2 linked regions of the Mus musculus genome follow. The protein of the gene in region 1 binds, or shares a complex with, the protein of each later gene. Links are inferred from orthologs where the notes say so. Each region holds a gene or a part of one and is shown on either strand. Other genes may lie near its edges.

Region 1 (3,750 bases):
TAAAGAAGCAGAGCTTACTGCCCCAGGCATTTGATGCCAGCCCCTAGGAAGCAGAGCCAGGCAGATCTCTGTGAGTTCAAGACCAGCCTGGTCTACATAGTAAGTTCCAGGCCAGCCAGGGCTACATAGTGAGACCTTGTCCCTGTTTAAAAAATAAACAAAATTCTTGGAGAAGCCAGGCCTGGTTTACAAAATACTTTGAAATATAAAGATGATGTTGTTTTAGGAAGAGCTTTCCAATCACATTAGCATGCTCTTTAACACTTACCTTTTGGTAACACTGAAAATCAAAGACTAAGGAAACAGTATAATTGAGGCCAGTGCTCTAAACTCGTTACAGATTTCACATTCCAACCCTGAAAGTATCATAAATACAACTTGCTTCTTTTTTTTTTAATTTTTTAATTAATTAATTAATTTATTTATTTTCGGAGACAGGGTTTCTCTGTATAGCCCTGGCTGTCCTGGAACTCACTTTGTAGACCAGGCTGGCCTCGAACTCAGAAATCCACCTGCCTCTGCCTCCAGAGTGCTGGGATTAAAGGCATGTGCCACCACGCCAGGCAACTTGCTTCTTTTCTTTTTTCACCTTCCTCTCTCTCTCTCTCTCTCTCTCTCTCTCTCTCTCTCTCTCTTTCAAGACAGGGGCTCATTATGTAGCTCTGGATGTCTTGGAACACACAGTGCCAGTCTCAGCCTCCAAAATATTTGGAGTAAAGGCAGACACCACCATGTTGGGCCTCCAATTTACTTCTCACTGTCCTTACAACATATCATTTATAATCAGATAGTCTTCCATTCACTTGAATTTAAAATCTTGGAACTTAATAGATACTAAACATTTTGTCACTTTCCCCTCTTCTCCCAAACAGACTTTTGGTAAAGCTTCTGTCAAAAATCTGAAAGGGATCGCTACTTTTTTTATTATTTTCAGGCAAGGTATTATATAGTAAGCCTCTGCGGTAGTTTCATAGTATGTATCTTAGTGTTAAGCTTTTACACTGAAAAAAAAAAAAAAGAAAGAAAAGCTACGGTGTCTACTAAGAGCTACTTTTTATGGCTTTAGAAGATGAGTAGTGTTAGAATAAGAAGCATGCCTCGAAAACCTAGCTCTCAAAAGTGTCTCTAGTGTGACCTCCTATCCGAACGAACTACAATTCCCGTCATGCACTGCGGTCCAACTACAACTCATTTCCGTCCGCGCTGCCAGAGCATGCTGGACTTTGTAGTTCACTCGGACTCACATGTTCTTTTCTCGTGTTCTTTGTAAGGAATGACAGTGTTACTAGCTGGATTGCTTTGACTCAAGGTGTTACTATACCGCATTATCATTAATCGTATCACATACCTGCCAATTCACTACCAGTTTTTCACTAATTTCTCGCGCTACTTTCACCCGGGAAAGGGAACTGACGCTCTTCCGGTATGATGGCGGCGCGGTGGAGCTTTAGGTAATTACGGAACTCTGAAGACTCGGGATAGACTAGGAGCCAGAGTGGGGGCGGCGGGTTGCTAGGTCGCGTGGAGAGGGCAGGGACTTGCGAGTGGGCGCTTGCCCGGTGGGCCTTGCTTTCCTCATGTGGCTGCGCCGTCTCCACCGGCGGCCCGCGAGGTGCCGTGTGAGCCGGCTGGGCCTAGCGCCGGCGGCGGGGCGTGCGTGTCTGGGCCTTGGTCTGGGTTGTCGGTGAACACCTCTCCTGGGAGCACCCTGGGTCGCGTCCCCAGTCGGCGTCCCGGGGCTGGCATTAATAAATTCTGGTAACGCGTTTGCCTCATTCCAGCTTATCCCAGTAGCCAATTCTATTACATTTTCATTTATGGATCGTTTTCATTGACTTGACTGAACCCCTGTCATGTTTAGCCCTAGTGATCCATGTTTCGCATCTTCTGTGTTTAGGTCGCATACGTAGTTAACCTTAACTCTAAAAGCCTCTACTATTTGCAACTTCCAAACATGGGTTTGCAGTTCCTGCCCCTAGCGAGCTGCAGGCCCTACAGTACAAACAGCACTGTGCCAGCTGTTTGACCTGCTCTAAATGCAAGACTTTTTTGATACATTGTAGCCACTTAACTCGCCCCCCCGCCCCCCGGAAGAATAATTTGGGGAAAGGTATTAATAGAAACAGTAACTGAGCCCCGGCAAGCCGTTGGTGAGTTTGCCCAGTGGTTAAAAGCACTCTTTCAGAGGGATCTAGGTTCGATCCAAGCACCCACAAGATGGATCACAACAAATTATAATATCAGATTCAGGGGACTGGATACCTGCTTGCTGATAGCCACTTGCACCAGCAACTTGAACTGTCCCTATATGTATATGAAGGCAAAAAAGATCCATACATGTGAAAATGAGCTACCTTTTCTGTTAATTGTGCTCTGTATTTAAACTGCCTTTTGTTTATTTATTTTTCCTGTTCTCTGTGTAGTCTTGACTGTCTTGGAACTCACTCCTTAGAGCAGGCTGACCTCAAATTTAAAGAGTTCTGCCTGCCTCTGCTTTCTGAGTGCTGGGATTAAAGGTGTGGGCTAGCCGGGTTTAGACTGGTTATTTTAGTTGAGTCCTACCTTGTTCATGACTGGCCCAGTCAGACTCAGTCTGGAAATAGACCAGTTCCAGAAAGAAGTGATTATCGGTAATACAGCAGATTGGAACTAATGTCTTTGAGGGTTTTTCTGTCAGATTTCCCTTGTTTTCTCTGTAAGTCTGAAATTACTGCAGGAACTCTAGCCAGCTTGAATGTGGTGGACAAGGCTCTCCTTCCCAAGTCCCCGTGTCTTGTTAAAAACCGTTAGATCACATTCCTCAAGCTAGCCCCCAAGATCTGTTCCCTGATCTAACCTGCAGAGATCCAGCTATCAAAGCATTGAAGTCCAACAATCCAAAACCTCTCTGGGGTCAACTAATTGACATGCCCAATTTAAATTAAATACCTCAGCCTAACCCCTCTACCCGCTACGCTAATATTTTCCTATATGTATGTCTTCTCTCTATCCAGAGACAGTCCTTTGTTCCCTTGGGACAAATACCCCTTTACCCTCTCCCTTGTTCCCTTCCCCTTCTCCCTCATCCTAGTGTCCTGTCTTTGTCTCCTGTTTCTTGCCCTTTGTCCTTCTGGGGCAAATAAGTCTCCTTTGTGCAGAGAACACGCTCTTGGAGTGTCTTGAGCCAACTTTGAGGTTCCCTACAATTACGAGCAAGGGAGGCCGATGGAGCACTAAGGATTTCAGAAAACTCTCAGGCTTGTTAACACTTTTTCTTACACCTCCCAAGTAAACATGGGAGAAGACAGTTGAATGCTTACCTCAGCACAAACTTTGAAGACATTTTTTAAAATGTTTTTTTTAAAAAGATAGCACACATGGGCAGGGGAGTGGATTCAAACAAGCCTTTGCCTATCGTGCCATGTTAGTAAATGCCAGTGAACAGAAAGGAAAGAAAGTGTGGGGCATCCTTTTTTAGGAAAAGCTTCAATGATTAAAGAATTGATAACTTAGTAAGCGAGACCCAGAATTAACTGTTTTTAATCTATCTTTGAGCCTAACTCAGTAGTGGCTTAAGCCAGGCAAAGTTCAATACTTCCTCCTTGAAAATTTATCCTGTGGGTGCTCTGAATCACTTTACAAGGGGAGGCTCTTTCTAGATCAGAGCTTCTGTGATGGGTGGTCGAGCTTGGTGTCTAGAGGCTACATGGTAATATTTCCTTTACACCAGAATATGCTCAGAAGAAAAAAGTATACAAACATAACTTCTAA
Region 2 (3,650 bases), on another chromosome or scaffold:
ATTTCTTTGCCTTCTGTCCATACACATGATATTGGAATCTTTAAGGACCTGGCTTCTAGCTTTCCACTCTTTTTCATTCCACTAATCATGTGCTTCCAGTCAGCCATTCCCTCTATTTCCTGAACATTCTATTTCCTTTTCCACAATCCTCATATTAGCTAGCTTGCTTGTTTGCTTCCTTCCTTCCTTCCTTCCTTCCTTCCTTCCTTCCTTCCTTCCTTCCTTCCTCCCTTCCTTCCTTCCTTCCTTCCCCCCTCTCTCTCTTTCTCTCTCTTTCTTTCTTCCTTCCTTCCTTCCTTTCTTTCTTTCTTTCTTTCTTTCTTTCTTTCTTTCTTTCTTTCTTCCTTTCTTTCCATGTTTTTCACTCTCTTTTTATGGAAGTAAAGCCAATTTTTATCACTTTGTTCAAAGTCTGCTTTCCATAAAGCTTACCACCTGGCCTGATTCATTATCACTCTGTGTCATAACATGATAATTTTTCTTTATAAGAAGCTTTGCAAAATTTTATATTCACTTAGTATTTTTTATTCTTGAATAATTGTTTATGCAGCTTTACATTTCATACAGTTTTCACAGTTTCTTGTTGGCGTATAGAATGTACTACATACGACTTTAAATGTCTCCAGTGGTGGCAAGTCATTGTCTTCCAGTTAGACCTGATTTTTAGAGACAGTGTTCTTTGTGGTGTCAGAAACAAAGTATTTAAGAATCCAGAGTGTCCTGTCATATGATATGGACAAAGCTCTCCAAATAGAAGAAATTAGATAAATCTATCATGACAGGGGAAAGTGTAAGGACATAATGATAAAAGAATCCAGTCCCTCAGATGAGACGAAGAAAACAGGTCTGCAAAGACCATTATTAGTAATTGCTGTGGCAGGCAGGAAGGAAATAAAATCAGACAGGTAGTTTAGTTAGAATAACTGTCAACAAAGCTAAGAAACACATGAGACAAAGAAAAGTCTGACTTCTGGTAATAAGTTTAAAGAAGCTCAAATTTTACAGGAAAGTGAAATCACAAAAACACTAGAAAGGATGAATGGTAAATTGCAATCCGTGGAGCAGGTGAATAAATAGACAGAAAGAATCTGGACAGAATACAGCAATGAAATAAGCATGAGGTTCAGTTGGGGGCTGACAAAGCTTACCTGCATCAAAACGAAAAAAAATATCCTCCCATTTTTATAAGTAGAAGAAATGAATGGAAATTTTACAGACATAGAGATAACCAGAGCAATATTTGTAATGATTAAACAGGTAAGAATTGAATGAAATTATTGCTAACTAACTGAAAACCTGAGAAGACCGGTGGAGAGATGGCTTGGCACTTCAGCTCTTACGTCTGCTGAAGACTTAATATTTAGGACTGGCTGCCCTGTCAGAGGTCTGGGGTCCAATTCCAAGCACCCGCATGGCGGTACACAGTCAGCAGCAGCTCTACTTCTGGAAGATCCTGTGCTGCCTCTGGCCTTCATGGTCACCAAGCATGAATGTGGTGTGCAGACATACATGCAGGCAAAACATGCATACACTTGTAAAAAGATAGGTATTTCTTAGGTGAGTCAAATAATGTAGATAACTCTATTTAATCTTTAGGAAGAATGATTTGAAGAAGTTACAATATTTCTGAGTCTTATAATGCACCTTTCAGTATAGCAATAGCAGCAACAATGTGTAGTTTTCAGAATAAAAGCAAATGATTGAAAGCATGGATGGGAGGGGCTGAAATGTAAATGAAGTAAATACCTAATAAAAAGTTGGAAAAAAAAAAGAAAGGTGGTCATATCCTTTGAAAAACCCAAATATCTGTAATTATAGATTTAATCTTGGACTTAAAATATAAAATTGTTACAAAGGAAGGAAAAGAAAGCAAAAGGCAACAGTTTCAGTTTTCTTAGGGGATGTCCTATGCTTCTGTCCTACTTAACTAGTGTTTTCCTTCTCAATGATTCTGGTCTCATACCAGGCATTCTAAGGGAGACCACTGATGCTGCATATTTGTGACTAGAAATTATATTTTTATATATAAATAATTTCTGAAAAATCACTTAGATATTTAATTAGAATAAAGTACGTTATTTCACTTATTGAACGTAAAGGAGACTGCACAGACAGTGCTAGAACTTCTATCTGCAGGTTTATATTTTTTGTACATTATTAAGTTAATTTTCTATCAGGAGAAATGGAAGAGGCAAAAATGAGCTATCTCCTACCTAGGCTTCTGAGCCCCAGCAGTGCTAGCCTTTGGGATTGGATATTTTTTGTTGCAGAAACAATCCTTTGGGCTTCAGGATGCTTAGCAGTATTCTTGCCATCTTGTACAAGATGCCAGTAGTATTTCCCAGTTTTCCCAGTTTTGATAGCCAAAAATATTTGAAAATGTTGATAAATGCCCCCAGGGTGCAGAATTGCTTCTTCTCTTTCCTCCAGTTGAAAGACATTGGTGTGTATTAAACTTCTTATTTTTAATTTAAAAACAGTAATTTATAATTGATAATTATGGAGATTAAAGACAAACAAACCAATCCCCCAAAACTAAACCACCATTGTCTCTGTAGAAACATATAGTGTTTGAAAATTGATTGTTTTCTAAGAAGTGGAGAGGAAAGGTTTTGGTTTAAAAGCCAATTTAGCATTCTGGAAATTAAATCTTGTGGCTCTGTTTGTATATTAACTGTGATAATTAAAGTGATACTAACTTTTAGAACTTGATATATTATTTTTCAGCCTACTATGACAACACCATTTTTCATAGAGTTGTACCTGGCTTTATAGTCCAAGGTGGAGATCCCACAGGCACTGGGACTGGTGGAGAATCTATCTATGGAGCCCCATTCAAGGTCAGATCAATTTACTTGCAACGCTTCTTCAAAAGTGATCGTGTCCCACAAGAATGTCTCATGTAATATACAAAGTCAGTGGAGTTAAAGTTTTTCAGAGATCAGAGCAAATACTACCTACCGAGCAGTCTTTCTGATTTATTTTATGGGAAGCCTTTGTGCTGAAGGCCTAGAAGGCAAAAGTCAAGGTATTTGTCTATCTGGCTCCTGGTGAGATGTACTGTATTCAGATCTTAAGGCTAATATATTAAAGAAAAATAGTCTCTGATGCTTAAAAGGCACTTATTGTGCTAGATGGGTGTGTCATAGATGATTCCAATGTTCAGTCTGAGGGGAAGTTCTGAGTAGCTCTCAGAATACAGAAAGCAACTGAGAAACAGTGGAGCCCTGCACTGTTACACTCTGCTAAGACAGACTCATGCCGTCTCTGAGAAGAATCAACTTAGAATGGTTTAGGACTTTTAAAAACACAGTGAAATCACATTAATGCACTTATAGAAGATTCTCAGAATTGAAAAACAAGAAGAAACCCATCACTTCATAACATGTGCAACAATAGCTGGTGGCTTTACAGTGGTTCAAAGGTGGGTTTCTTGGGAACACTGGACTGTTTTAAAGGGTTGGAGGACTCTGAGGTGAGTAGGAAAATGAGACTTAGACTCTGACTCCCTTTGAGCAGCATCCTTCCTCTGTAAGTAGACTTCCAGAAGATAGTTACGGGGCTGAATATATTTAGAACATACAAGCTGCAGAATTCAGGTTTAAGAGCATTGAACAGATAGTAAATTTGGATTTGATTGTACTTCAAAA

Evidence for each region.
Region 2: the proteins of Cwc22 (region 1) and Cwc27 are in contact, whole or in part, in a crystal structure (PDB 6YVH), measured with the Homo sapiens proteins. The link is inferred for Mus musculus from reciprocal best matches to the Homo sapiens genes CWC22 and CWC27. Residues at the interface, in NP_001362958.1 of Homo sapiens: Leu239, Arg242, Lys243, Tyr245, Arg246, Asn248, Asp249, Lys250, His270, Glu271, Val272, Leu275, Glu276, Thr279, Leu280, Leu281, Glu283, Arg284, Thr286, Asp288, Ser289, Val292, Val307, Ser308, Pro309, Arg310, Gly311, Thr367, Met369, Leu372; in NP_005860.2 of Homo sapiens: Arg381, Glu382, Asp383, Gln384, Thr385, Leu386, Leu388, Leu389, Phe392, Lys393, Lys395, Leu396, Thr397, Ile400, Glu412, Asp415, Asp416, Glu417, Gly418, Trp419, Met420, Ser421, His422, Val423, Leu424, Gln425, Phe426.

Annotation. Positions count from the first base shown.
Region 1 is NC_000068.7:77,943,851-77,947,600, reverse strand, and holds the start of Cwc22 (pre-mRNA-splicing factor CWC22 homolog), read left to right. Parts: upstream 1-1,244; 5' UTR 1,245-1,451; intron 1,452-1,455; exon of another isoform or gene 1,456-3,750. UniProt on the Homo sapiens protein: Required for pre-mRNA splicing as component of the spliceosome. As a component of the minor spliceosome, involved in the splicing of U12-type introns in pre-mRNAs. Promotes exon-junction complex (EJC) assembly.
Region 2 is NC_000079.6:104,806,910-104,810,559, reverse strand, and holds part of Cwc27 (spliceosome-associated protein CWC27 homolog), read left to right. Parts: intron 1-2,727; coding exon 2,728-2,840; intron 2,841-3,650. UniProt on the Homo sapiens protein: As part of the spliceosome, plays a role in pre-mRNA splicing. Probable inactive PPIase with no peptidyl-prolyl cis-trans isomerase activity. As a component of the minor spliceosome, involved in the splicing of U12-type introns in pre-mRNAs.